Linked DNA regions of Tamandua tetradactyla. The protein of the gene in region 4 binds, or shares a complex with, the protein of the main gene of each other region. Links are inferred from orthologs where the notes say so. Each region holds a gene or a part of one and is shown on either strand. Other genes may lie near its edges.

The links.
Region 1: TBP (region 4) and TAF1D share a complex: the UniProt entries of both Homo sapiens proteins name them as parts of the transcription factor SL1/TIF-IB complex. The link is inferred for Tamandua tetradactyla from reciprocal best matches to the Homo sapiens genes TBP and TAF1D.
Region 2: TBP (region 4) and TAF10 share a complex: the UniProt entries of both Homo sapiens proteins name them as parts of the TFIID basal transcription factor complex. The link is inferred for Tamandua tetradactyla from reciprocal best matches to the Homo sapiens genes TBP and TAF10.
Region 3: TBP (region 4) and TAF4 share a complex: the UniProt entries of both Homo sapiens proteins name them as parts of the TFIID basal transcription factor complex. The link is inferred for Tamandua tetradactyla from reciprocal best matches to the Homo sapiens genes TBP and TAF4.

The regions. Positions count from the first base shown.
Region 1 is NC_135334.1:49,332,771-49,340,436, reverse strand, and holds the start of TAF1D (TATA box-binding protein-associated factor RNA polymerase I subunit D), read right to left. Parts: upstream 3,011-7,666; 5' UTR 2,911-3,010; exon of another isoform or gene 2,829-2,910; intron 1,453-2,828; exon of another isoform or gene 1,431-1,452; 5' UTR 1,413-1,430; coding exon 1,363-1,412; intron 766-1,362; coding exon 390-765; intron 1-389. UniProt on the Homo sapiens protein: Component of the transcription factor SL1/TIF-IB complex, which is involved in the assembly of the PIC (preinitiation complex) during RNA polymerase I-dependent transcription.
Region 2 is NC_135334.1:80,052,915-80,059,740, forward strand, and holds TAF10 (transcription initiation factor TFIID subunit 10), read right to left. Parts: upstream 1,930-6,826; 5' UTR 1,917-1,929; coding exon 1,685-1,916; intron 1,513-1,684; coding exon 1,358-1,512; intron 1,124-1,357; coding exon 1,059-1,123; intron 971-1,058; coding exon 856-970; intron 676-855; coding exon 586-675; 3' UTR 509-585; downstream 1-508. Other genes in the region: scaffold protein ILK, read left to right, coding at 127-276; TPP1 (tripeptidyl-peptidase 1), read right to left, coding at 4,250-4,390, 4,570-4,695, 4,852-5,010, 5,121-5,241, 5,684-5,748, 5,981-6,174, 6,346-6,544, 6,717-6,826. UniProt on the Homo sapiens protein: The TFIID basal transcription factor complex plays a major role in the initiation of RNA polymerase II (Pol II)-dependent transcription.
Region 3 is NC_135327.1:59,658,583-59,665,897, forward strand, and holds the start of TAF4 (transcription initiation factor TFIID subunit 4), read right to left. Parts: upstream 3,017-7,315; 5' UTR 2,994-3,016; coding exon 2,063-2,993; exon of another isoform or gene 1,845-2,062; intron 1-1,844. UniProt on the Homo sapiens protein: The TFIID basal transcription factor complex plays a major role in the initiation of RNA polymerase II (Pol II)-dependent transcription.
Region 4 is NC_135330.1:84,882,386-84,889,557, reverse strand, and holds the start of TBP (TATA-box-binding protein), read right to left. Parts: upstream 3,010-7,172; 5' UTR 2,881-3,009; intron 2,721-2,880; exon of another isoform or gene 2,572-2,720; intron 2,512-2,571; exon of another isoform or gene 2,396-2,511; intron 860-2,395; 5' UTR 707-859; coding exon 653-706; intron 1-652. Other genes in the region: PSMB1 (proteasome subunit beta type-1), read left to right, coding at 5,097-5,209. UniProt on the Homo sapiens protein: The TFIID basal transcription factor complex plays a major role in the initiation of RNA polymerase II (Pol II)-dependent transcription.

The DNA.
Region 1 (7,666 bases), on a different chromosome or scaffold from region 4:
CTAATGCTATTCATTCTTAGAAATAAATCGCATTCTAGCAAGGAAGACAATTATACATTCACTCAATCAATATTTTAATCTGATAGGTATCAGGTGGGTGCCAGCCAATTCTGTCATCCAGCCTCTAAAAAAAATTTACTAAAAGCCAGGAACATTAAGCTATGTGTGGTTTAGAATTTCATTGCTTCAAAAATGAGTAGTAATATGAGCTTTAAGGATGTATTTAAAGAACTCAGGAACTGCGCATCACTCTGGAGAGTTTGCTAGAATGATTCAGCATAGATAACTGTAAGATAAGGGAAGCTAAAAAACAAAAAAAAAGATAAGGGAAGCTTCCAGAGTCAACAAATAATTTCCTGTATTTCCATTGATATAAGAGAATGACTCACCTCAAAGGTTAGAATTTTCTTCCAAGGTAATGGGTTTCTTCCATTCTCTGATTGTAAAAACGAGAACCAGGGTCCTCTGTCTTTCAATTCTTTTTTGCCTATTTGTGAACTTCTGGTGTTTCTTCTTCCTTTTGGTCTTCCCTTAGGTCTTCCTGTTGGCTTATATTTCCTCCTTTTACGTTTCCTTTTCTTGAATCTTTCAAAAATAGCTTTTAAAGTTCGTGGTATCGGTTCCCAAGAGGAATCGCTTGATGAATCTCTATTTTGAACATTTTCTTGAAAATAAAATTTCCTAACAGGGTTTCCTTGCCTCTGCTTAGGTAATGAAGGAATACACTGAGTTTTAAATAAACTGCTACCAGACGATGAGCTATCACTAGAAAAAGGGAGAAAAAATTACATTCTCACTGACTGCTTACTACTAATAATTTCAAATAGGTATCCTTCCAAAGACTAAAGTAGGGAACATGTTCACAGTAAGGTTTTTTTTCTCATGGGCAGGCACCAGGAATTGAACACGGGTCTCTGGCGTGGCAGCTGAGAATTCTAGCACTGAACCACCATCACACCACCCCACAATAAGTTTTTAAAAAATAAATGGAAGCGGTAGGAATTAGCAGAATGCTAGCCAGTGAATCCTATTCGCCCTACCTAAAACGTCCCAAAACACTTAAACTGCTTATTATCCTCCATTTGAAATATAAACTCCATTAAGGCTTCGAAAAATATTTGGCAGTCTATTAGAAATGCCATTTCAATGGCAATTCTGTGAAGTACCCTGAAATTATCTTGTATGTATAGTTATGCCAGCATCCTTTCTTTGTGGAATATTTTCAAGCGACACTCCACCCTGATATCTATTTGCTTGATATAAAACATGGAGTCAAGGTGTTAAGAAGGTATTTTACTATATAAACTTACGAATCTATTGCTGAAAACTTTCTAGTAACTGTCAACTGTTTTTTACACTTACCTTTGATCTTCAGTTTCTACAGCAGCTGTTTTGTAGTCGAGAGAATCCATCACTGATACAGCAAATATCTAAATGGAGAGTATTAAGTTCTCAAGTTACATCAACTGTGAATTAGGAAAAAAAGTCACTTGATTTACCAAGCATAAGCTTATTTAGAAGCTATCCATTTCAAATCAAATTCTAAAATTCAGAAACTGCATTCACAAGCTCCATTCTCCTGGTTGTGCTTTTTCAAATCTATGCAATGGTACAAGATCCATTCCATCCAGAAAGTAATGTCATTTCCAACAGAAGTACCGTTAGCTTTCCAACTACCAATAAATGCTGTACTTTTACCAGGAACTATACAGTAACATACAAATACCAATACAGTACCATATAACTACTGGTCATTTTCCAAGATCAGAAAAATTCACTTTCATATACAAAAGTAGACGATTAGTATACCTGAGGACCCAGTATACCATGAAAACAGATATCAACATTTACCATCCGAATCCAATGGAACATCTTAAACCCTTGTCTGGGATTTCATCTACGGTCTCTTCAAATTAACATTAACTCATCTAAGCAACCGTGAAACCTTTTCCTTTGCAATGACTAGGATGATATTCATCTTTTTAAAATTTCCCTTTAACATTGTACAACGTAAAAAACAGACGTAAAGACCCATCTTCACTACTGCATCACCGTTATAAGCGACGCCTTTTTTTCCAGTTATGCAGTTTTTTACTCTCTAGCATTCTTGGGAAACGCCAAGAGTATCGATAAGTTCGAGGATACTAAAAGGAGCAAAATGTTTCAAATATATGTGCTCATAGCCTCTAGGGTAATTTAAAAATGTTTATTACACTTTTTAAAAGAACGTAAAACTCTGAGATCGTTAATAAATCATAGGGTATCAACTGCTCAAAACATAAAAGTCTGCCCCGACGGCACACCTGGGATTAAATTTAAAAGATTATCAAAATGAAGTGCGTGCACTCAAAAATAATTCGCAGAAACTGGAAACATTCCAGCTAGGTACCATTGTTGGATTATGTTATAATCCCGTTGTTGGACTATGCGATTTGTAAGAGCAAGACAGAGCACTAAACAGGATCAAACGTAATACTTCTTCACTTACTATCTGCGACCCTGGGAGAGGTCTCTTAGGGAACTCCTAACCTCGTGGAAGGAAAATGGCGCCAAGAATCGTTACCTCGCACTTATTCCTATTAAATCACAAAGTACTTGTCTAGAATACATCCTAATAATTACATCCCCGATACAACGCAATACACGCCAACACGCATTTATTTATAGGGCCGCCGAGCTAGGCCCGGGGGAACCTTGCACCCTCTGGGCCTAACTTGCGAAGCTCGCTCCACCCCAATCAACGCTATGATCCAGGGAGAAATAGACTAGCCACCCTCCTCGACCGCCAGCCCGGAACAGCCATGTTCTCTTCTCTACTTTTTCAGCTTGGCAACCGGGCCTCGGGGACAGAAGTCGCCGACTGACTTGATTATTCTCCCGCCCTAGCACTCTACTAAACAACAACGTTACCTCTCGCAACAGGAACGGAGAAAGGGAGAACGCTAGCTTGCGACCTAGCTAATAGTTGGGCCGAAATCTCGCGAGTACAACTTAACACCAGGGAAAAAAGGGAGAGGTGGGAGGAGATAAGGACACCCAGCGCCAATTGGATCGCAGGGAAAGGAGGAGGGATTTAAAAGTAGGCGGAGCCGGAGTTTACTTACGTGAAGGGGAAGGAGTTTCCTGAGGGAACATAAAGCTTTACTCAGCTGGTTGAGATCGGTAAGTGTAATAGTCAAGAACATCTCGGCGAATGACGGAAATTATGTGATCAAGGGAGCAAAATGTATGTTAATTGCGAGGAAAAAGCCTCTGAGCTCAATTTGTTTTCGGTGGTGTCGCATTTCCTGAGTTGTCGTCTATCTTCCTAAAACCGGGTGCTGGATTGATATGTGTGTGTCTGTCTTTCGTGTGTGGGAATTCTAGGTTAGCAGATGAACTTGGGTTTGCGTTCAGTGTGAAGCATCCCTTTTTGGCAATTTTAGTCGTACAGATTGTGTTCTGTGTTAAAATATTGGAAAAGGATCGTGCTTTGACCGTGGTTCAAAACAAGTAACCTTTGTACTAACTACACCCGCTTCCCCTCTCTCCAAGAGGGAGGGAGGAAAAAAGCGCTAAACCATTGGACTTGGATTCCTTGTTTTTGTAACTCTTAAGCTGAGGGTGCCTCCCAGTAGTTGGGTGACATGCAAGAGATACTAGCTGTGGGTTTTATTATTTTTTCTGAGTCCCCCACCCCCGTAGTTCCCTGAAGGGTGTTTAAGATAAAAGTCAATTAAAAAAGGATGAGCTAGGAAAAAAAAATTGTGAGCCAGGTTGCGTTTTCCACTTTCTGGCATTTTGTATCACATGATAAACCAGTGAGGCTATCTAGTCGTGGTTTTTAGTCAGTCATCTCAGGATTGGAAGAGACCTTGAAGATAATTTGGTCGGTACCAAATTTTGCTCCAACTATTAACTCCAGGGATTAAAAAATCTGATCCTGTAGGCAGCACCAGAGAGTCAGTAGAATAATGAAATCTTCAGGACAGGTATCGTTTCTTACCATCATATACAGGAGCAGGCCAGGCTATATAGTTTGTGAGGCCAATGCAAAATGAAAATGCAGGATCTCTTGTTCAAAAAGCAGGGGGAAGAGTGCCATTATAGGTGCTAAAATTTAAGTGTTTAACTTCTTCTGTACTTTGTTTCTTTACTTGTCATGGTAGGTTTTATTTGTATTTAATGCCAAACTAAGTAAAAATTTAAAATGTAAATTATTAACATGAATTTTATCATTCATGCTTATATTGTTCAATGCCAGTTCCACGTACAAATATAAAAACATTTAACTCATGCAGAATCACTGAAATTGCATAATTAGTATTTTGTAGTTCATATAAGTTATATGTTTTTAGTTCTTATAAGAACAATGGAAACACTGCACGAAACTAACTCAACTATTTTTACTTAACTACTTGAAATGTGAATAGTATATCAAAACTCTGGAAGCTAGTAAATTTAAGTCTTAAACTCCCTCCCTTGTGGATCCACCAGAATTATGTGCTAATGGAGCATAACAAATCTATATGCAAATGAGGTGCCATGGAATGGTGATGGCCAGGCATATTGCACCTTTCTCCTCTATTTCTGTGCATACTTTGTTGTCTCATGATACTTCATTTTTAACACAGAAGTTTCAAGACAGTGACAATAGAACATTAAGCCAAGTGCCCTTCTGAGTGACTTAGTGTCTGCACCAATTGCACTCCATTCTTGGAGCTGTCCCTGTCTGGGAGTTCCATGGGTCTGCTACATCATAGATGTCCAATAAATGATGCTAAACTAGTGCCCATCAGGCGGACCATGGTGGCTCAGCAGGCAAGAATGCTTGCCTGCTATGCCATAGGACCTGGGTTCGATTCCCAGTGCCTGCCCATGTAAAGAAAAAATAAAAAAAGAAAAACTAGTGCCCATTTGCTATTTGGAATATTGATATGAAAGACATAGTCCTTTCTTCAAAGAGATCATAGACTAGGGGGAAGAGACAGAAAGCAAGTAGATGATCATATTTTGATCTGAGTGCTGTAGAATCACTCTATACAAATTCTTCCTTATTTTGAACTGAAATGTGTCCATATCGTATTCCTTTACTGTCAGCATAGTATAGTATGATGAATTCTGGTTTACCGTGAGTTAGATCTAGTTTTGAATTCTATTCCTGCCTTTTATCTGCCAAAGTGTGAGAGGTTTTGAGAGAATGTCTGTGAAGTGTGCATTTCATCATTGTTAATCAGCTTGGTTGGTTTAGTTGGTATGCCCCATTGAGGTGTTCTCTCTGCACCGCCACTTACTTAGCTGCCTTCTATTTCAACTCCTTCCTTCTCCAGGCCCTCTTTCTGGGACATTAATTCCCAATAGAATCAAATCCGGAGAATATTTGTCAATAGCTAGCCCAGGACTGTGCTCCTGGAGTCTTTTCTGAGTTTATCTTTATTTTAGAACCTTTCTAATTCCCTCTCTCTTATCACTCCATCACACATACACATATGCACACAACCACACTGCCTTCTCTGCTAACTTTACCTGCTAGAAGTTCTACATTTTTTTTTTTTTTTTTTTTTTTTTTTTAAAGGAAAGACAGAGAGAAGGAAGGAAGGATAGAAGGAAGGAAGAAAGGGAAACATCTTTAAACATTTTCTTGTTTTATTGTATTCTGTTTCTCCGTTTTTGTTACATGGGCTGGGGCCGGGAATCGAACCGAGGTCCTCCGGCATAGCAGGCAAGCACTTTGCCCGCTGAGCCACCGCGGCCCGCCCAAGTTCTACATTTTTAATCTGCAAAAAGAAAGAAAACAAAATAGAATTACTATGACTAAGAGATTTAAAATGGAGTCAGGAGGTTATTCTGGCAGTTACTTTTCAGCAAATCTCAGCCAGGTATTAAAAACTGTCAAATTGTGCAATGGTTCATGCAACAGTGTTCCTCAAAACCCTAAAAACACCATAAACAAATCACAAGATAATGAACTCAGTTAACTATCAAACCTAAAGGACATTTGGAGGGTCCCTAATACCCACCAGACACAAACAACTTGTGTGATCTTTTTCTATAAACCCTTGCCTGGAAGACCCAAGACACAATTTGGGTTGCAACCTGAATCTGTTCTTCCCTAATTGCAATTCTAAGACCCTAAATAAAGGCCTGTGTTGCCTTGCAGCGCAGGTTGTGATTTCTCCACAGGTAAAACTAATCATTGAGGCTGTAGTCTTGTGGAGTGGACTTCGTGTCCGTTTTGGTAACAAAAAACCCAACCCTTTTGAAGAGATGGTGAAGGGCATGCAGTTAGAATTAGATTTTAATTTTAACTTGAGTCTTCATGCCTGCTGCAAGCAGAAATATCTGAAGTGCTTTCATTATCCTTTTAAATGAATATAATATGTAAGATAATTATCAAACCCAGCTGTAATCATTGTGCAGGTTTTGACATGTTCGTAGTTAATGATAGTACTTGCCTGGTTGCCTGATAGAGGAAATGTGATAAAATGTTAACCTGTAGAAAATCAGGGTAAGAATATGTAGGAATTTTTTGTATGTGTTTCTACCAATCCAATTTCACAGTAAAAAGTTAAAATGCCCCATTCCTAAATGATTGTAGATTATTCAGTTCAAAAATATGTTTAAGGTATTGATTAAGAATATGTAAAGACTTGGGGCCCATTATCTAGAATTAATATTTTGTTTGGGATATCAGATTGTGCATATTAAATTATTAATGGACAATGAAAGCTGGTGTTTGACACAGTATTAAAGTAAATGTCAAGTCCCAAATGGATGCTTATTTGTAGGGAATGTATTGTCTAAAATAATCATCGAAACTAGTGTTCCAGCCCAACAAAAACCCAGACCAAAGTACATGCCAAGAAGAAAGTTACCTGTGAGTTTTAATTAGCAACTTAAGAATGGGAGAAGAACTGTTTGCAGACGATATGATACTATACGTCGAAAACCCGGAAAAATCCACAACAAAACTACTAGAGCTAATAAATGAGTACAGCAAAGTAGCAGGTTACAAGATCAACATTCAAAAATCTGTAGCATTTCTATACACTAGTAAGGAACAAGCTGAGGGGGAAATCAAGAAACGAATCCCATTTACAATTGCAACTAAAAGAATAAAATACCTAGGAATAAATTTAACTAAAGAGACAAAAAACCTATATAAAGAAAACTACAAAAAACTGCTAAAAGAAATCACAGAAGACCTAAATAGATGGAAGGGCATACCGTGTTCATGGATTGGAAGACTAAATATAGTTAAGATGTCAATCCTACCTAAATTGATTTACAGATTCAATGCAATACCAATCAAAATCCCAACAACTTATTTTTCAGAAATAGAAAAACCAATAAGCAAATTTATCTGGAAGGGCAGGGTGCCCCGAATTGCTAAAAACATCTTGAGGAAAAAAAACGAAGCTGGAGGTCTCGCGCTGCCTGACTTTAAGGCATATTATGAAGCCACAGTGGTCAAAACAGCATGGTATTGGCATAAAGATAGATATATCGACCAATGGAATCGAATAGAGTGCTCAGATATAGACCCTCTCATCTATGGACATTTGATCTTTGATAAGGCAGTCAAGCCAACTCACCTGGGACAGAGCAGTCTCTTCAATAAATGGTGCCTAGAGAACTGGATATCCATATGCAAAAGAATGAAAGAAGACCCATCTCTCACACCCTA
Region 2 (6,826 bases), on a different chromosome or scaffold from region 4:
GCAGTAACTGTGGTGGGTCTGGGCTGTTCCCAGACTTGTTCAGATATACAGTAATCCTGTCCCAATAGGCCTTTCCCCACGACACTGAAATTGTGAGGTTTACCTTGTTTGTCCTTCTATTTGCAGGTGGCACTGGAAGGCCTTCGGCCTACCATCCCACCAGGTATTTCCCCTCATGTGTGTAAGCTCATGAAGATCTGCATGAATGAAGACCCTGCTAAGCGACCTAAGTTTGACATGATTGTGCCTATTCTGGAGAAGATGCAAGACAAGTAGGGCTGGAAAGTCCTTCCCTAAAAAACTCCAGGGGTGTCAGGACACAGTTGGGGGAGTGCCCCTCCCCAAAGCAGCAGGCCTCTGGTTGCCTCCTTTGTCTCCAGTCATGGTACTACCCCAGCCATGGGGCCCATCCCCTACCCACGCCCCTGTTACTGTGGCCCCAAAAGAGGCTGGGCTCAGAGCTTTGTCACTTGCCACACGGTGTCTCCCAGCATGGGAGGGATCAGCCTGCCTGTCACAATAAAGTTTATTATGAAAACAGGCTGGTGTGGGGATATGGGGACAAATACATTTAGGTTGGGTGGCTCAGGTGAAGTAATGCGGCTTCTTCACATTGATGCCATACTCGCTGAGGGCAGGTGTCAAGTCCTCCATGGTTAGAGTATACTTGCGGTCCTGAGGGGAAAGGGAAGAGCACCAGCTGAGCACAAGAATCTCAGATTTCAATCCCAGGTGGTGACCCTGAGTAGGTCTTAAGTCTCCCCTAGGACTTGGTTTCCCTAAAGGGTTTCAGGATAAGTTAAGCCTCCAAGGCTGTGAAGGATAATTACTGATTCAGTGAGCCTCCCCTCACACCTTGCTCTTGCTTCGGGAGCTGCCGGAGGCTGTGCCCTTCATTTTGCAGTGCTGTAGGGCATCATTGGCAATATCTGAGATGAATTTCTGGGCAGCTAGGGAGATGAGCCGAATTCTAGAGAGAAAAAACTGGTATGAAAAGGAGATGGGAAACAACTTCTATACAAGCACCCAGAACTCTACTTTGTCCAGTGTTTACTCACATGCGTGGGTCCGAGGCCTCAAAGCCAGCACGGTTCAGATAGTAACCAGTCACTGCATCTGGGATCTGAGAAATCAATTAGACAACTGTCATTGCTAACCTTGAGCTCTGTTGGGCTGAGAATGAGGGAAGGCAAGGGAAATGGAGAACAGGGCTGGTTATCAGGAAGCTCACAGGAAGGGGAGAGGGGATTGATCATAAGAGGAGGGCAGCAAACACAGGAAAGCACTGGGGAAGTAATTCATGGCAAAGGTTGGCATGACAGTAGGCCAAGTGGCCTTGTTCAGGCGGGAAGCCCACCGTAGGCGTGTAATCCTCCAGCTGCATCAGGAAGTCCACCAGAGGTGTGCTGGACACCACCGGCTTCACCTCTCCGTTGGCCGCGCTCGGCAGTACGTAAACTCCGTTAGACATGGCACCCTCCGGGGGCGCCGCGCCGCCCGCCGACACAGGAGCTAGCGGAGAACCAACAAAGTGAAAACGGAGGTGGGGGCGTGCAGGACCCTAGTACCCTGTCCCCTTACTCGCCGCTGGGTCGCAGACGCTTGTGCCCTCTACCCTTACTCGCCTCTGAACCCAGCCCCAGGCGCTTTCCCTCACCCTCACCCGCCCCGGCCCGGCCCTCACTCGCCCCGCGCCTCTCGGCCGTCTCTCCAGCCCGCGCCGCCACGGGTCCCGAGCCCCCAGCCGCGGCTCCAGCCCCAGGGCCCCCTGCTATCCCTGCGGGGCTGCCCTTGCTCTCCGCGGCGGCGCTGGCAGGCAGCGCTGCTGAGGCCGAGGCAGTGGGTGCCGGACCCGAGGCCGAGGCGGCGGACGCCGGCGCCGCCTCGGGGTCCGCGCCGGAGCCGCTGCAGCTCATCGGGCCGGTGAGAGAGGCGGCGAACAGAGCAGCTTCCGCTTCCGCCCACGTTACGCACACACCAGGGTGATGTCACACGCTTCACAACTCGCTCCTCCCACAGCATATTTGCTCTCTCCCTCGGGTCTCCGGCCTTAGGTTGTTTCTCTTTGGCCAATTAGGTGAACTGTCCGCAAGAGCGGAGGCCAATACCTGGAGAACTGCGCAGGCCGGGGCCAGCCTGCTCTCCCACTCAGCGGTACTCCGAGACAGTTCCGCCGGGAAAACAACCACTGTATTTCCGGGACTCTCTTGTGCTGGTCTGGGGACATTCCATTCAGCTGACGCTCCCAAAATATTGCATCGGCCAGATACCCTCGACCACAGGTTGTCTGCCAATCTGCTTTCCCTCTGGAGCCCTCATTCAGATTTTAAGAGATCGTAGTGGAGTGGGAGAGCATCCCGCGTCCCCTGTCTCGCCAACTGCCCAGAGAAGTGCAGAAGCAGGAGGGCGGGACACAATGCTCCAGTAGATGAGGAGCGTTATTTCGGCCTCGAGCAAATGACATAAGCAAATCAAAGCCAGAGAAAGCGCGAGGTTTTCAATTCGACAAGCATTTACTGAATTCTATTTGCCAACCCCTGAGCTAGAGCCTGGGAATTCAACTTTAAGTAGGACAAGATTCTAGTCCTCTAGGCACCGACGGTCTTGGAAAGCGAGACAAACAAGGAAACTGGCAATTTCATTACCATGTGGTACTTACAATAGTAGAGGTAGGCACAGGGTGTGCAGTGCAAAGGAGGAAGGGAACTAATATTTGCTGCCTACTCCAGTGTCCAGGCATTTTATCAACGTTATCCCACTTATTCCCTGATTATTCTGAGAGGCTCAGAGAAATAGAAGTATTTACCTAAGGCCTTTTGATAGTACATACCAGAATCAAGAATTTAATGGATTGATTACAAAAATCTGGGTTTTTTTGTTTTTGTTTTTCTATACCAAATTCATCTAACTGAATCTCAGGCAACTGAACAGTTTCATAAGAGAAGGTGAATTCCAAGTGTGGAGTCTTGAAAGAATCCTGGAAATTTACCAGGCAAAGGTCTAAGAGAACAGCTTGAGCAAAGGTTGGGGAGAGGGAGTTTATTGTGCAAGGGGAAGATAATCAATTTGTTCGTCAGCCACAAATAACAAAAAAGGAAGGGATCAGGTCTTGCAAGCCATGATAAAAAGCCTGAAATTTATCCAGTCATCTTTAAAGGGTTTTGATCAAGTATGACCTGATCGCATATGCATATTCTCAAAAAAGTTTAGGAAGGGCAGGAAGTGTGGACACTGTTTTTGCAAGGGCCTCCTGTTCAGAGAGAGAAGTCTTCAACTAACAAAGTAGCAGTGGAGATGGAGAGACATGGATGAGTTCCAGATATGTTTAGGAAATACAATTGGCAAAATTTATGGATTGATGTAGACATACTTACAAGGTAAAGTCAGTAGGACTTGTTGATTGAAGGTAGGGGGAAGGTAAGGTAAAGGAAATGGGAGTGTAGGATGACTCTTAGGTTTCTGGCTTGGAGGGGGCATAGTAGGAATCACCAAGAAGAAAATAAAGAGGTGGAACAGTTCAGATTTGGCAAGGAGGAAGATGAAGTGTTGAATATTATACATCTTGTATTTGAGGTATCAATCACTGTTGGGTAGAGGCTGATTTAGTGAGACAGTGATGGCTGAGATTCCAGTGATTTGTTCTAGGGGACAATGGGTACAGTGAGCAGAGCAAAAAACTAAGGATGGAGCAATGGTGAACACCAGTATTCAATGAGTAAGCAGAAAAGAGAAGTCCATGATTGAAGAAGACAGGAGTAGTCAGAGAAGGAGAAGTTAAGTCCTGGAAGCTAAGGAAGGAGAGGGAGTGGGTAATGGTGATAGAGAGCCCATAAAGCAAAGATGAAGCAGCAAGGAGGCCATTGTTTCACGGTGAGCCCACTGTCAGGGGAGGATAGAATAACCCATTAAAGCAGAGGATTCATTGCAGTGGGCTGAATGAACATGAAAAAGTGCACATATTGTGGACAACCTTTGGAAAAGTCAGGTTTAGAAGAGATGGGGCATCCCCAAAAGTTCTGGTTATAGCATCTTGCAGAGGAACCTGAGGCAGGAGTAGGGAGACCTAAGTATGACGGAACAAGGGAGGATTGGAAGTCAAGTCAAACTCACAGCCTTGCAGAGTTAGGGAGGAAAGCTGTCTGCAGCAGTCAACAGTTGAGGGTTCAGCAGGGTTTCCAACAGTGCAGAATAAGAGACCCAGCACTGGTTGCAGGGCAGGGGACATGCCAGAACTCCTGGCAGGAAAAGGTCAGGGGTTGAGTAATGTCTTTAGCAGAGCTGGGAAGTTAGGTGTTCCCCAGCCTGTCACAGGATCCCAGCCAGGACCAGAGCAGAAGCCCTGACCCTCCACTTCTTCATTCAGACAGGACACATGACAGCCACGGGTCACCTGGGGAGGAAGTAGGCATCAGATCTGGACCTGCTGGTTCCAGTACTACCAGATAGTATAGATCCTCACCCTGTACTCACAGCCCTGAGACTTCCCCACCCCATCAGAACTACCCTCAAGTTTACCTTACCATTCCCCATACTCATATGAAAGCACACACCCTTCCCTACCACACTTACATCAAAGAGTCCTGCCCCACGCTGTTGATAAAGCCTTGGGTTGAGAAAGCCGAGAGGGGGATGGCCACTGAGTATTCTGTGCTCATTTACCAGGGACAGGAGTCCTCCAAACACTGGAGTGGAGGCCTACAAGTATGAGGGTGTAAGTAGAAATCAGAGGTTGAGAGAGATTGGACTTATAGGGAGGTCTCTAAGGAGTTAGGGGTTCTGAGTATAAGGTCTTGGGGGTACAGGATGAGGACAGTTTCCTGAGAGGAGATTTAGACCCAGGCTGATTCTCACCGAAGTGCCAGAAACCCATGGAATGGGCACGCTGTTGCTGACCACCCAATAGCCATCAGAAAGTGCAGCCACATCTGGGTAGGCACGGCCACTGGCATTGAAGTAACTGGATGGTGGCAGATGAGGGCTGGAGCTCAGGAACTGGGCTACCGCTTCCTCCTAAAAGGCATTGTGGAGTGAGTACTGGCCTGTAGCCTGCCCTTTAGTCTGCTGAACTAGTGAGGATCTCGAACACTACCACCTATCCATCCACACAAACATACACATACCTGGTATGAAGGCTGTGGGAACACATTGCTGAAGCCACCACCACTGATATAGTCAACAACCTCGTCTGTGATGAAGAAGGGATTCTGGAAAGATGTGCCTCCTACTGTGGTGACATAGGGGCTGAGGGAACAAGACAGCCCTCAGGTTACAGGGAATTCAAGAGGAACTCCAAGATGTATGAGGGTGGGTGAGTACAGACTAGATCTTGCTGGATGGGCTAGACTCCATGGGGAAGGATGTACTTTGGGGTGACTAAGAGGTTTTGGGCCCTCAAGACATGGCCACAGGTGATTGGCCATACATTTCTCTACAGAACATGTGCCAAATCTTCCCCTAAATGCCTCAGGACTGGGAGGAAGAACACTTGGGGGTTGTGTCCCGCTCAGAAGGTGTGGGGCCAGGGACCTACAGGAAGAAGAGAAGGGAGTGTAGCAACTAGGGGAGGTAAAGCTAAGGGCTGAGCAATAGGAGGGCCTGGTGAGGTCAAGACAAAGATTCTACATCATGAGATCACAGGTGAGAGGCTGGTGGTCACAGGTAAGTGGTAGACTGGGGTACTTACCTAGAGGCAGGGAAGCTAGGACGGAACTGGTGTCTTCCAGAGACAGACCAACACCCAGCGCCACTGTCACCTAGGAGAGAGACCAAGTTTAGCACTTAGACCTTCATTGTGGGTTCAGAAATCAGAGTGGAAGTTTAGGTGTCAGTCATTGCTATGGAGGTCAGAGTCTAGAGGTCAGACCTATGGTCCCTACTGAGGGTCTGAGTTCAGGTTATGACTCAAAGATCAGGCTCAGGGATCACTGTAAGGTTAAAGGTCCCAGGTTGGCTGGGTAGGGATCTAAGGTTAGGGTAAGAGGTCACCTGAGGCAAAGAGTAGGGTGAGACCCCGAGCAGCGGCCTTCATGAACTCGATGTTGACCCGCTGGATGTAGCTGCTGCTGAGAGAGTCCTCATCATCTCCGTAGCTCACGGTGTGCACATGTGGCAGGGCTGACTCATTACTGAGCAGTAGGAGCCACTGTAAGAAGGGCTCTTGTGCCTCATGCCGGCCTGGATTTATGGGCAGGGGTAGGGGATAAGGGGCCAGGGGGAGAGGACAAAGGTCGTTATTGGTGGGGGCATTGTCAGGATCTCCCTTCAGCTCATGGGAGTCCCTTGAGGCATCTGGGATCAATGCCCACTCTCCACCCTCTTCCCCACCAACCAGCCCCTTGGCAGTACCAGGGTTACTATAGACCCAGGTGGAGATGTTGGCACCAGCACTCATCAGGTACTCCACATCTAGGCTGGCCTCGATCCCAGCCCTGCCCCGGCCCTGTTGTCCAACTACACGGGCTATTGATGTCTGGTGTGCAAAGCTTCCACCAAAGAGGTGCATGAACTCAGTTAGGTCTGCTTCACGGAAGTACTGCTCCAGGAACTATGGAGGGAGTCAGAGCAGGGGTCATGGGTCAGAGGACACAGTCCCAGATCACAGGCCAGGGAATGAGAGCCTAGGGGTCAGAGGCAGAGAGCAAGAAACCCCAGGCAGTAAGTCACCAAGGACACCTTGGGGAAGCCATGAGGACCTTGGGGCTGTCTGCACGGCTCACCTGGGCACAGGCCTGGCTATTGTTGGTGGTTCCAGAGCCCACGTCTTGTGCTGTCAAGTTGTATCTCTTGCGGACCACGGATGGGGTCACCCCCAGATGCAGGCCAACAG
Region 3 (7,315 bases), on a different chromosome or scaffold from region 4:
CATTAAAATAAAGTAACATAACTGACTGGAATTCCTAATTAGGAGCTCAAGTGAAAAGGGACATGAAGAAAGGGATGGAAAGCTTCTATTTTCTAGAAAGCAAAGGCCTCAACACTTGCCACACATGTTAACACACACTATCCCCTGCCCTCAGAGAGATGAGGAAGATGCTGAGAAGTCATGCAGAGAAGCAACATTTCCACCCATACGTCTACCTGTCAAATACAGACACCCCTAAAAACTGCCATTAAAACAGAAGTTGAAAATGACAAAGACGCCCTTTGCTGCCCTCCCCAACAGAAATAAAGCAACAGGGCCACCTATGTGAAGGCTCAGATGGAAGTGACCTGCTGACCCCCAATAACTACAAATAATGACGGCTGCCAGGGGACGGAGAAGGCGTGGGACACACCAGCTCTAAGGAATGAAAACACAGCCTGGGGGGTAGCCTGAGGAGGTGTAAGGGAGGGGCCTGGCATGAACAGGACCACTAAAAAGGCATTTTTATAATTAGATAAAAAGCTAAGTGCATAAAAAATACCCTGGCATTTTACACAATATACAGTGCCCACAAATTATCTTTAAAGGTTACTAAAGGTCAGCCATGGAACACTTTCCACCAGGTTGAAACATACAAATGCAGGTGAGGAGCTGATTAGAGCCCCGACACACTCCTTGGGATCACCAGGGAACTCGGTATCTCTCAGGTATTTCTGTATGTTACCATTTTCTCCTGGAGTACTGAAATCCCCGCACCACCCCAAACAGCTGTGTGGGCTGTAAAATGCCAAGGTGTGGGACCACAGGAAAGCAGCTGCCTGTGGAAGCCTGGCCCCCACTCCTGCACCTTCTCTTCTTACACTGCTGAACCGCCTCCAAAGTGACCAACCACTTAGCCCAAGGGGATGCAGGAGGTGGCCATGCTCTCACCTCAGTAACTGCTGCTGCAGCTGCGCCACACGTGACAGCAGCCTTGGAGTGCCTTCTCCAGAAGGGCGAGGCGGAGAGGACAGAGCCCAACTGGGGAAGCCGCCCCCTCCCAGAGAACTCCTAAGCCAGAGAAGTGTGCCATGCTGCTGGGGCATGTCCTGACCTCACAGAGGTGACAGGCCAGTGGCTGATGCAGAAACCCAAAGGGGGAGCCTGAGACCGAGCCCTCAGTCACCAAGCGTCCTGGGTCCAGTTTCACCCCACGTGGTCCTGTGCCACTGCTATCTCTAGAGGATCCTGACAAAACTAACCACACATCCTTTCCAAGCAACAGTACTGAGTTTAAAAACCATACCGGTGAGCTAGAGAATGCCAAAGGAACGCCCCAGAGCATGGATGTACAGTAAGGATGGTGACCATGGGGGCACACCCGGGACCCCTCTAGCACTCCACCCCTAAAGGCCTTGCAATTGTAAGATCTCTATCAGACAGGTATCGGAGGAAAAGCCCTCCCCCTCTCAAAGATGGTGGTCACCCTGCCTTGAGGTCAACTTCATAAGAGTGATCTCTCTAGCCCACTCTACGGGGGAGAGGCGGCGGCCACCACAGCAAGGGCAGTGAGGACACAGGCCATACACCTAAGTCCAGGAACCAGGAAAAGCTGGTGGTGCCCGAAACTGCCAAGGTGGGGCCATGCTCCAGGCAGGTCCCCTGTCACCACGGGAGGTGGGGTGTACGGCACACACGGGGCCCTGAGGGCCAAGACAGAAAGGCGGAAGGCCCTAAGGCGAAATCCTGGCAGGGAAAGCCAGAAAGGCAGACAGCAGCAAGGGGAAGGCCAAGCACCGCGGCTGTACCAGGCTACAGCCGTGATGTCACAGATGGAAAACCCACGCTGCTCCAGTGGGCGGGCACCGCGTACACACGCACGCACACACACTCAGGCAGCTTCAGGCCACCACAGCACCTGGGCGAGGCACAGCCTCAGCAAGCCCCCAATCCAGCCTCGCGGCCACCACAGCCCCCAGGGCCCACCGCGGACTCTGAACGTTTCAGCCGGCAGGACTTCCTGGAAGCCGCTGCGGAGTCAGCCAGGCCCACTTGCTCCTCCCGCTGAGCGCGCCCCACTTACCTGGGGGCAGCTGAAAGTTCTGAATGTTGGTGGGGTTCTGAGGTGGCTGCGGCAGGCGGGGGGCTAAAACGGTGGGTGTCAGGGTGGCCCGGATCCCGCCGGAGGTGGCCGTGGGCGTCCTGGGCAGGTTCTGAGTGCCGGCTGTGGCAGGGCCCTTGGGCAGCCCCGTGGGGGTGCCAGGGGCCGGCGGCGGAAGGCCGGGCGCGGCGGGCAACGCCGCAGACACAGGCGGCCCGATGGCCATGCCGGGCCCTGCGCCCCCCGCGCAGCCGGCCGCCAAGCTGGGCGGCGGGGGTAGCGGCTGCACCACGGTCTTCGGGGACTCGGCCTTGCCGGTGGGCGCGGGAACCGCAGGCGCTGCAGGGGGCGCGCCGGACCCCGGTTGACTGTTCACCAGGGTGGTCGGGGCCGTCCCGGAGCCGGCAGGGGCCGGGGGGGCGGCGGCGGCGGCGGGCAGGCCTCCCGCACCGAGCGCCGAGTTGATGACAGTACTACTCCCGTTCTGGGCGGCGGCGGGGGGCCCCGGGGCAGGAGCTGAGGCTGCGGCCGGGGGGCCAGGCGGCCGGGCAAGGGCCGCGGCGGCGGGGGCGGGCGGGGGCGGCTGCGGGGCGGCGGGGGCGGCTGCGATGACGGTGGGCGCCGAGGAAGCGGGGGCGGGGGCGACCGCGGCTCCCAAGAACGAGGCGGTCTGGATGACAGTGCCGGGGGCGGTGGCCGGGGGCGCGGGGCCGGCGCCCGCCTTAGCCAGCGGCAGCAACACGGACGCAGGCCCGTTGTTGACCAGGGCGACAGCAGGTGCGGCAGCGGGGGACGTGCCGGCGAAGGCGCCCCCGGCCAGGTGCGAGTTCACCACCACGCTGCTCCCGTTCAAAGTTTGCACAGCGCCGGGGGGCCCCAGCTTGCCGTTGCGGGCGGCCAGCGCGGTTGCCATGGAGGTGCTCAGGACCACGGACTTGCCCGGCGCTGCGGCGGCGGCGGCGGCGGGCTCCGGCCCTGCGCCCGGGCCGCCCGGGGAGGGGGAGCAGGCGACGGCGGGCGCACAACCCGGGGACGCGGCGCGGCTGGCGGCGGTGGCTGCGGCGGCCTCGGGCGGCGTCCGCACCGCGCTGTGGTTCGTCACGGCCCCCGGCGCCGCTCCGGCCCCTGCAAGAACAACGAGAGCGCGGCGGTGAGGACGCACCCGGCGCCCGCCAGCCCGCCGCCCGCCCGCCGCTGACAGCGCCCGCCCGCGGGCCCGGCCCGCGCGCCGCTCTACCTGCGGGGGGCCGCTCCGGCGCCGGTCCCGGTCCCGGCGGGGCGCCCTCGGGCGGGGCGGCGGCGGCGGCCGCGGGGCTGCCGCTCACAACATGGTTCCCGAGCGCGCCGGCGGCGGCCGCGGCCCGGGCCTCGGGCGGCCGCGCCGGGAGGTGGTGGTGGTGGGCCGCGCTGGCCGCCAGCTGCGACTCGAGCGAGCCCACCAGGTCGCTCACCACTTTCTCGTCCACCTCGCTGTTGAAGAAGACCTCGTCCAGCAGATCGGAGCCCGCCGCCATCTTTTCTCCTCGGCCGCCGCCGCCGCCGCCGCCGCTCGGGCCGAGGGCGCTGGGCGAGGAGGAGGTTCTGCGCGGGGCGGGCGGCAGGCGGGGCGGGGGCGGCGCGCGGCGGGGGCGGGGCGCGGCGGGCGGCGCGGGTGGTGGCGCGCGGGGGGAGGCGGCCGGCGCCAGTGCGCAGGCGCGCCCGGGCGCCCGGCGCCTCGTGATTGGCCGCCGCGCGCGCTTAAGAAGCACGGCAAATGGCCGCGAGTCGGAGAGGCTGGGGCGAGGGCGAGCGGTCGGGGACACAGAGCGGCGTGGCGGCGCGGCTCTGCAGAGGCGGCTAGGGCGGCGGCGAGGGCAGGCGGGCGGCCGCAGCGACGCGAGGCCCGGGCGGCCGGGTGGCCGGGCCGGGCCAGGGGCACGGGCGAGCGAGGGGCGGCGACAGCAGCTATCTCTTTGTCTCGGCGCGCTCCAAAATGGCTGCGGCCGGGCCGACTGGGGCGGGCGAGGCAGCGAGGGGCGCGGAGGCCGTCGTCCGCTCCGGGGCCGACCGCCCCGCCGCCCGGGCCCTCGGGAAGGGCGGAAGCTGAGGCCCGGCGGCGGCGGCGGCGGCGGCGGGGAAGCAGTACCCCCGGCGTCAGCCGCCATGGCTGCTCAGGCCGTTGAGCGCGGGAGGACGGACGGAAGAACGGAGGACGAGCAGCGGCGGCGGCCAGCGCGGCCTGGGAGCCGCGGGGCTTGGGGAGTATGCGCCCGCCCCCCTCCGGGCCGGGGAACACCCGGGCAGGGGCGGAGCCGGGGGCGGGCCCGAGTGGGCGCGGGGCTGTAGCCTCCCCACGAGGACCCCGTGTCCCGCGTTGTCGGCGAACGCGGGTCGAGGAGGCCGCAGGCGGGGCGCCGAGGGCCGGGCACGGGTGGGCCGGGCCGCGTACACCTAATGTGCTTCCTGTACAGTAAGGAGGAGAGCGACGCGGCCGCGTGCGCGGTTTCCTCCTGGGAGTCCTGCGCCCCCAGCGTTGGGGGGATGCCATGGAGCCGCCGCCTTGGTCAGCAGGGGGCGGGGGCTTGAGGGGCCCCAGCCAGATGAGCCTCGCAGTACTGGACTGAATCACCGGCGTTTACCCCCTTAATATGACCAACTGTTCTTGGGCCTTTCCCTCAACTTTAGGTCAATAAACGGAGTTTTTCAAGGTACAAGAAAAAGACCTGACGCTCAAGTGCTTGTCATGTAATCCGACTCAAGTCAACCCTCCTAGGCAGGAATATCTCATAAATTATTGGGTAAGTGGACAGTGCCCTTGAGAACAAAATAAAATTTTTGCATCACTAAGCAATCAGATCTAGAGGTGATTTCCTGTTCTTTATTTCCACTTTTTTTGACCAAGTAAATTATCCAAAACGATATTGACAGCACCTACTTCATAGAAATATTTCACTTAAAGTTACCTCTTTCTGGATGTTTACTAGTTTGATTTTGTTTTCACTCCCAAGATGGTGTAATTGGACATTGCTAATAGTTTTTTCTTCCTCTTTTTTTGAAACCCTTTCCACAGAGAAATGGCCCCCTCCTCAGACCTCACAACATGCGCTCATAGGGTCGTCTCTAATTACTGAAGAGATAATCACCACAATAAGCACAAATCTTCTCACAGTGAATGAAATTGTTGACATAGTAAATTATTTTTAAAACTGCCTAAACAAAAGAGACTGCTCAGCTCTCAAGAACAGTCTCGCTGGGGCTTTGTGTGCCTGTGTGTGTTACGCGTTGCAGTTTTGCCTTATGATGTGTGGCTATGTTCCCTCACACCCCCACCCCACGTTTATTCTCTTGAAAAAAATTATCAGCAGTGGAGGCTAAAACCAAGGAAAGAGGAAAAAAATGTTTATATGTCCTATAAACATATAACCTGAATTTTATACTTGAATTTTGGCCTCCAGAAGCAAGGCTATCATTCATGAAAAGTATCCTGGAAATGAAAAAATAAGGAAAGAAAATTTAAATCTTAGGCTTTCACCCCAGTAAGTCATTAATTGAGTATTGAGCTGCAGTGTAGAAGCCCAGACTTTGTAGGTGAACTAACCAGGTAGCTGGGATGAGACATTGGGTATGGTGGGGACTGAATGTTAAAAAGCCAAGGCCCCATCTCCACAGGGTGGCCTTGAGCAAAGAGCTCAGTGTGCAAAGACAGTCTGATTTTTCAAATGATAGAAATTTGAACTTTTATTTTAGGTCTTTTGTGTCTTAATAGCTAATTAGAAAATTTTTAAGTAGACCTAGCAAAACTCTCAGCAGGCCACCTTCATCCCGGTGCGCAGCATCTGTTGTAGGAAATGTACATTTGGATAAGGTTATCTGTACCCAAATACTCAGGTAGAGTAGTGCAAACAGCTGGGCTTCCAGGCAGAACACTGCACACCGCATACAGTGAGACCCTGAATCTGGGGCCCTGTGTCAGAAGCCTATCTTGCCAGGCAGCCCGGTTTTGCTCCCACACTCACATCAGTGAGTGCTTCAGTAGAGGAGCCAGCCATTCCCCTTAGCACATGGCTTCCCACATTTGCTGTAGCCCCACCCACTCACCCCTGGAACCCTCCAGTCCAGATCTGTCCTGGAGCCCTGAACAGACTGGATTCATCACAAGTGCACACTGCAGAAAGCTCGCCTCCAGTTCTGCATTCTGTCCCCAGTCTGCCACCAGGCTTGCTTTGGACCTCCGGTTCACAACCTCTCCCATACACAGATGCTGTGGCTGACATCACTCCCAGAGCCCTCTGCAGCAACCTCAAGACCAGCAGAGAGAAGACGTTGCCACGAAATCAAAAGGCACTTGTCAGCCTGACCAGCCCATTCATCCCAGGGAGTCCTATAAAAGAGGAAACATTTTGGAGCATGAGAGATTCGGAGAGAGCAGAGAATGCTGTAGCACCATGAAGCAGAGAGTCCACGAGCCAGCAACCTTTAGAGATGAAGAGGGAAGAGGGGGAAGCCTGTGACTTGACAGGTCTGAAGTAGAGCCTACTGCCTGGGCAAGTCCCCTCCCCACCTCTCACTTGCCAAAGTGACAATGCTTAAATCTTCTTGGCCAAGCCCCCTCACCCAGGTGCAGTCACCAATAATAATCAGAACCAAGGCACTAGATGCTCACCATGTGCCAGGCTGAGTATGCCCCACAGATGAGGGCCTCAGGGCTTGCAAAGGTAAAATAAATGGCCCAAAGTCTTGTTCCTGGTGCGGGCAGAGCTACCTTAAAAATACACAGGACTCAGCCTCTCATGCTCTTTCCAGGCTTCTACGGCTGACTGCCCTCCTCTTTCCATACAGGCTCTCTCCAAGCATGGCAGAACACTGCTGATTAACAGTCCGCTCACTGTCTTATAATCCAAGTCAGGCTCGCTTCTTCTCTGAGACTGACCCAGATCTCTCTGATGGCAGTTGTAGGTGTTTGCAAACTCTCCAGTGACTCATTGTTAGCACTCTCTTGGCTTACTCCCACTCACCATAGCCAGCATGAATGATTGGGCCAGCTTAAGGCAGAGAAGAGCTTGTTCCAAGGTTCAGGGGAGGAACTGCCCTGTCCTGACAGCACTCGGACAAGCCCAACCTCATGTGACATTTCCTTCACCATCCCAAAGGGCAAGTGAGGAATGGCCTTAGGCTCAAGAAAGTGGAGCCTAATGTCTTCAAGACCCTCCTTGTTCTTGTTTGCTAGTTGCTGGGATGCAATATACCAGAAATAGA
Region 4 (7,172 bases):
AACACAATTTAGTGAGCACAACTTTCAAAATCAAAGACTCTATAATCACTTGGAACATTTTCACAAGTATTTATCAAAAGAGTAAGTGTTTAACGGATAAATAATGGAATTTTGCCTCTGAATAAACTTCTTGAAACATTATCATGTTTAGTCATAGCCTAATAAGAACTTCTCAAGAAAACTAATAAGAAAGGCTTAAAAAGCTAGATATCCGTTTCCTTATTTTTTAAATTAATTTTTTAGAAATATAACAAACAAACATTCTTAACATATGGTCATACAAATATACATATATAATCAGTAATTCACAATATCATCACGTAGTTGCATATTCATCATCATGATCATTTCTCAGAATATTTGCATCAATTCAGGAAAAGAAATAAAAAGAAAAAGAAAAAAAACATACATACCATACCTCTCCCTTTCATTGATCACTAGCATTTCAATCTACTAAATTTATTTTTACATTTGTTCTATTATTTATTTTTATTCCATTTGTTTTATGCATCTGTCAATAAGGTAGATAAAAGGAGCATCAGATACAAGGTTAGAAATAATTTTCAACACTACATAGTTAAACCCCCTCCTACCTTTTCTACTGTTTCTTACAATGTCTTCCCTACCTATGCCCTCCCTCCAGCGGTGTTACCTGGGGTGAGGCCAAGCCCTGAGCATAAGGTGGGAGGCTGTTGTTTTGATCCATGATGTTCACTCTCTTCTTGGTAAACCAAAAACCCTTGGACTGGAATCTCTCTCAGCATTCAGTCTTTTCCCTGGAGCATCACCAGTGCACTCCTACCAATTTCCTCAACTCTTTGGGTTATCTTCATGCACACTGAGGATAAGCGATGCTGTTCTGAAAAAGTTTGAAGTTTAATGCACATTTCTATTCAAACATTTATCATCTAATAAAAAGTTCTCATATAGCACTTACAGGTCTCAAAGTTGCAGGTTAAATATAAAAGAACTACATACATCTCAATTATGTGCCTGGTTCACAGCAGGCACTCAAATATTTGCTGAATGAATAAAAGAATCTGATGATCACTTTGAGAGGGCGAAAGTTCCCAAAGACTACATTTTCTACATACTCATCACCAAAAACAGACCAAACCAAATCAAACCAAACACATACTAAAACTCAAAATACCCTCTATTAGTAAGATCAAAATGAAAAAAGAAAACTGTGCTGCTGAAAATAAACATATCAGAGATGTAAGAAAAGTATACTTTTCTAGACACTGTAACCCTAAAATAATAATATAAATGTATAAAGTATAAAGACAAAGGGGATATAGCCACTGACATCATTCAACTGAAGGGTGTGCAAATATTTACTGCAACATTTTGTATGTGCTATCATGGAAGGCATATGTGTCTTTGCAATTTCTGCACCAAGCACAGGGCCTGGAACATAGTTATGCGATCATAAATGAGTGAATGTAGATATACATGAATGAATACATATATGGTATGGAAGAGAAGGAAGTATGAACTGTGACGCACTCTGGAGACAAGGCAGTGTTTTCACAAAGCAAGGACCATGTGATTTGAGTCTAGCAAGGTAAGACTCAATCTGTATTTCAGGCAAAAGGAAGATCATGCACAAAGGGGAAGAAAAATAAAAGCAGCTTAGTTTAGTTATCTAGAGGGTAGGTGCAAGAGATGAGACAGAAAATATAGTTGGCATCCCATTATGAAGAATTTTGGGCATTATCACATAGGCACTAATGGCAGTTACACAATCCTGAAGCGTAGAATGAATAGATCTGTGTTTCAGAAGGGCTATTTTGGCAAAAATGTGGATGAATTAGAGGGTAGTAAGACTAGAGAAGGGAAGCTTAGTTTAAGGGGTCGCTGCGTAGTTAAGGCAAGAGATAATCAAGGCAGGATTTAAAGCACCGTAAATATCACTACCTAGAAATTTATCCAGAGCCTTTGGTATCTATAGACTATCTTTCACAAACTAAAAGCCTAAAGAAGCCTGAGAACCTAGACTGGGAGTCTTACGTCATAATCGTTCAGCGCTAATCCCAGAAATAGCCCATCACTTCCAGGATGGGAGAGACTGCCACTTCCTCACCTATATCAACTGTACTGACTTATCCTTAGAAAAGATCATTGTTGAGAGAGTGTCTCCATGTTTTGGAAGCTGAAGACATCAAACAAGCTCTTTTGTTTTCTGAAGGCAATGACTGATAGTGAAGAGAACCAATGAATTCTGCACAGTCTTCTAGCGTCTGCATAACCCATCCAGCAGTCTGTATGAGGTCTCTTTTCACAGAGAACGTTACCTGGAGCTTCACACTGGATAATCACACTGGCCTGACTCCAGACATGTAGGCATTGTAAATACAGCAGTGCGAATTTATTTATTTAAGAGAAGCCATACCGAGCCCGAAGTCTCAGGATTATGAGAATCCTAAAAAGGCCCCAAGCAGAACTTCACGATAAAACCAGCATGGGAGCAAAACCAGCAGGCCCAGGCCAGAGTTAATCCACCGTCCACTGCCGAAGAGAAGAGGCATGACAGAAAAGGACAGGAAAGATTATGGGTTTCCGACACACCTGGCTGTCCTCCGCTCTGGGCCCCTCTAAACGCTCAGCACCCAACATTTGCGCGGCGGGAAGCGGCCTTGCGAACCACAGCCGTGCAGCGACCCGGCTGGGGGCAGCGGCCGAGGCAGGCGGGCAGCGGGGACCGGCCGGCCGGTGGGCGGCACGGGCCGGGAGGAACGTCCGGCAGCCCGCGGAGCCTTGCGCGCCCAGCTCCGCGTCCCCTCCCCCTTCATCGGCCCGAGGACCTCGATGCACGAATCGCCATCCTTCCGCACACACAGCCCTCCCGAGAACAGAGAGAGTCAAAGAGGCCGTTACCTGGAGTCTCTGAGGTAACCGCCACTGGCCCACACAAACCAGATTGGGCACCCGCCACCGCGACCCTTCCCGACCCTATTAAACACCGGCGCGCGCTGGATGACGTCACTTCCGCCAGTGCCCCCTCGGCTTCAGCGAGCTAACCATGCTCGAGTGACGGCCATGGGAAGTGTGGGCACATGTCGCTTCCCTATTCCTTGAGCGCTCGGTTTACGGGAAATTAGGGTGGGAGCTCTTCGGAGAGTTCTGGGGCGGGGCCGCTTTGCCATAATACTTCCTAATTGGTCGGTGATGGATGCAGGAAAGCAATATATGCTTAAAAAAAAAAAAGAAAAAATATATATTTAAACCAAGTAGTTTTGTAACCTTTGGCAGTTGACATCTGTGCCTGGGTTTCTTCGTCTTTAAAATGGGATGATACTATTTACCCTGCAGAGATGTTGTGAGATTCAGTTAATAGATGAACAGTGCCTGGCACATGGTAAGCATTCATTGAAGGTTACCTAATTCTTCTTAAAAATATATAATGATAAGTAAAACAAAAAGATAGCCTTAATAAAGAGATTCAATTGTATTTATAATTCTGCTAGTAACATCATGATGGTTGATCTCAGTTGTCAACTTGGCTAGGTTATGGTGGTGTTTGGTCAAGCGAGCACTGGTCTTATTGTTTCTGTGGGGGTCTTTTGAGATGGATTTAAGTCATTGATCAGTTCATTGCATCTACTGTTGATTGCATCTATAATGTAAAAAAGATATTGCCTTCAGCAATGAGAGGATTCTTCTTATCCAACCAGTTGGAGGCCTTAAAGAAAGAACTGAGGATTTCAGCAGTCAGAAAGAATTTCTGTCTCTACTTCAGCCAGTCAGCTTCTCCTGGGGCATTCAATGACATCATCACAGAGTTTCCAATTTGCTGCCTGCCCTATGGAATTCAGTTTTGTCGATCCCCAAGTTTCTGTGAGCCAATTCCTATAAGTCTCTTAATATTTACATATATATATATATATATATGTATCTGCCAGTTCAGTTTCTCTCAGAGAACCCTATCTAATCCAACCATTTTCGGCAATCTTAGTTGTTTCTTAGTTCGTTTACTTCTGTATGTTTGATTAGAACCCAGCACACCTTGATTTCTCGCTTCTAGTTTTTTAAAAATGAATAATCATATATTGTACTGCTTTGTTTTTTATTTGCTCTTTATTTTTTCTGTTTTATCAGTGAGGTGGTCAGCAACTTAAGGATCGGAAGTGTTATCTATGCTTTTTGTATCGCGTACTATATCTGGCACCTTGTTAGCCTATGGAGAGAACTGAATAAGTACAATACCTCTTTCTGCATAACATCAAAGAAAATCCTTTGTTTATTTATGGGAAATATGGAAAATATTTCAACATTTAATTAAACAAGTACTTTCAAAAACATTTTCTGATCCCAGATTTTCTGTATATATCGTGTAGTCCACCTTGTCTTGCCAGGAACCTGCAGAATAGAGTCTGCTTAAATTCGATGGACCCTTAAGATTGAAAAATGAAGCAGGCCAGTTGATAAGCAACAAGGTAACAGTTCACTGGAACTCAAAGCCTAGGAGGCTGGTCCTGGGCGGGTGCAGGGCATTCGGAGCAGCACTGCGCATTGCTTGGCGGGTTACAGCGTCTACGCAGGCCAAGGAAGGTATGGAGCAAGGTTGGGATTTGCAGATGGTAAGCATGTCTTTTGGTTTTACGTTACGTGTTTTATGGCTAGAGTATATACCTAGGATTGGAACTTTTGGCCCACAAGGTATGCGTATCTTCAATTATGCTAGACGCTAATCTGTTAATTGGCTATTCCAATTTACATTCCCACCAATAGCGTTTTCCAGTTTCCGTTTCTCCTCATTTTTGCTAATATTTTATATGGTCAGACTTTTAAATCTTTGGCCATTCGGAGGGAATTCGAATTTTTCCGTAAGAAAAAAACCCACAAGCCCTTTACATTTTTGTCTGCTTTTTTTGGACTAGGGAGCGCCGAGGTACCGACACATCCTGGCAGCGCCGGTGACCTCCAGGAGCACCGAGGAGTGCATGATAGAGCGGCTTGGAGGTGGGCGCCGAGGAGCAGCCGGAACTGACGTGTTCACTTCCGGAAGTGAAGTGAAGTCACTTCCGGCTGGAGCCGCCATCTTGCTGTGAGACAGCAGGTGTCGGAGCCGGAGCTGCATCTGGGGCTGAGCTATGTTATCTTCAGCAGCTATGCACTGTGGTCTTGACCGAGAGCTGGGGATGGAGCCATACAGAACCGCGGGTCCCTCCCAGTTTCGCTTTTCACCCTACGCCTTCAATGGAGGGTAAAATCCATCGAGAGCCGCCGCTTTTACTTTCGCCCTTGTCCACTCTGCAGACGCTTATTTGGGGTCGCCGGCGGGAAAGGCCCTGCCCTGTCTCACCCTTCAGGCCTTCAGGACCCTTAGCTGTGTGCGTTCACGCAGCGGCACAACCCCTTCCCTTTTCTCCTTTTCCCTGTGTTTCTCTGTTCATGCCTGGCTTGCTCGGTTTCGCATTGCGGTTTTCAGGGTTTCTTCTTACAGTTTAGTCGTTTGGGTCTTTATGTGGACGACTAGTTTACGGTATAGCTTGCTTCTTGCCGGAACGAGGCAGTAAATAGAAAGGGAAACATCTGCTGTGTGGAAGACCCTGTCGTGTTTGAACACATTTCCCATGTCAGCAGGTTAGGACAGGTTCAGGATTTGAAATAAAAACGTTATAATTGAACCACGTTGGTAGAGGCTAGTTTTGTTGCAGCTGAAACGTAGTCAAAAGCTTAATCATTTTCTCATAAGTTGAAGCTGGCCAGACTTAATAGATTATTCATTTTTTTTCTTTTTTAGAAAGCTTAGCTTAAGTCCAGAAAAAAATGCTCAGAAGGGGTCCCTTTTGATATGTGTATTTTTTCATGTTTTTTGGTAACAAGCTTTTTTTTTTTAAGGTAATACTTTCCCCTGGTAGTGTACCAGAAGAATCAGTTAGGACTCTGACAGTGAAGAGCTATAAATAGAAGCGGTGGTTATACTTTATCAGTCAGACTTTGTAGAAAAAATTGCGTACAATTCGAACAGATAGTTCAGAAAGACCAAAAACATTGATTAGGTCCTTATGAATTTGAAATGTGGATGCAGATTGTTGGAAAGCAAGAGTATGTTGGAAACCAAGAGTTAAAGGCTGCGATTTTAGACCTAGTTTTGCCACCAAAGGGCTGTGCAGTTATGGGATACCTCTCTCAACCTCTTGAGCCCCAATTTTTTTCATCTACCTTAGTTCTTAAATTTTGGGGGAGAATCAAATGAGAAGCATTTTATAAATGGCAAGGAGTTATGTTACTTTAGTTCCCCTAGTGGCTGAATATTAGATGATATTGGCCTCTTTTTTTAACAAATGAACCTGAGGCTCTTAGAAATTAAATTGTCCCTGGCTACAACAGCATACAGAACTGGGGTGAAGTTGAGCCAACACTTGAATTCATCTCTTTCACCCAACAGTTTTTGTGGGCTCCTTCTCAGCACTTCCTGTGATAACTAATTTCGTTGTTATATTATTGTAAGGTGGATTAGACCCATTTCATAAGGTAGCTGTAAATTCTTTATAAGAAGAATTTTCAAGGCATTCAGTGTTCAGTACTTGTCACTCATTCTTAACCCATTGTAATCTAATTTATGCCATTACTGCCTTAAAAGTTACTCAAGACTTTGTTATATTCTTACCTTTTCTCAAACTTTGTTATATTGTTACCTTTTCTCAAACTTTGTTCTTTTTCTTTACTGTTCATTGCTGTTGGCTCTTAAAACTCTACTTTTTGCTTCTACAGCATAAGGCTTAGTTTTGTACATCTTTCTACTCTTAACTCTTTATTTTATTTTTTTAAATTTAGTACCAAATAAACATTTTTTGCTTTAGTCTCACACGTAAGGTAAAATTTTAAAATATTAATTATGATCTGTTTTCGGCACTCTGCACTAATGACATTCCTTTGTTCTTCCTCATGCAAAAACGTTCTTTAAATTTGTGCATTTAGTCACCATCACTATACACTTTAGGTGTTCCTAGATTATACCATCTCAATCTTTAACGTCTTATCTTTCTTTCTGATTTCGTTTGTGCCCCCAGCTCTCCTCCCTCTGTCATTCTCACATTCAGCCTCATTCAATGTTCCAACATCATTGTATTACATTTAGGTAGTATTGTGTTGTCCATTTCTGAGTTTTTACATTCAGTCCCGTTGCACAATCTGTATCCTTTCAGCACCAATTACCCAAC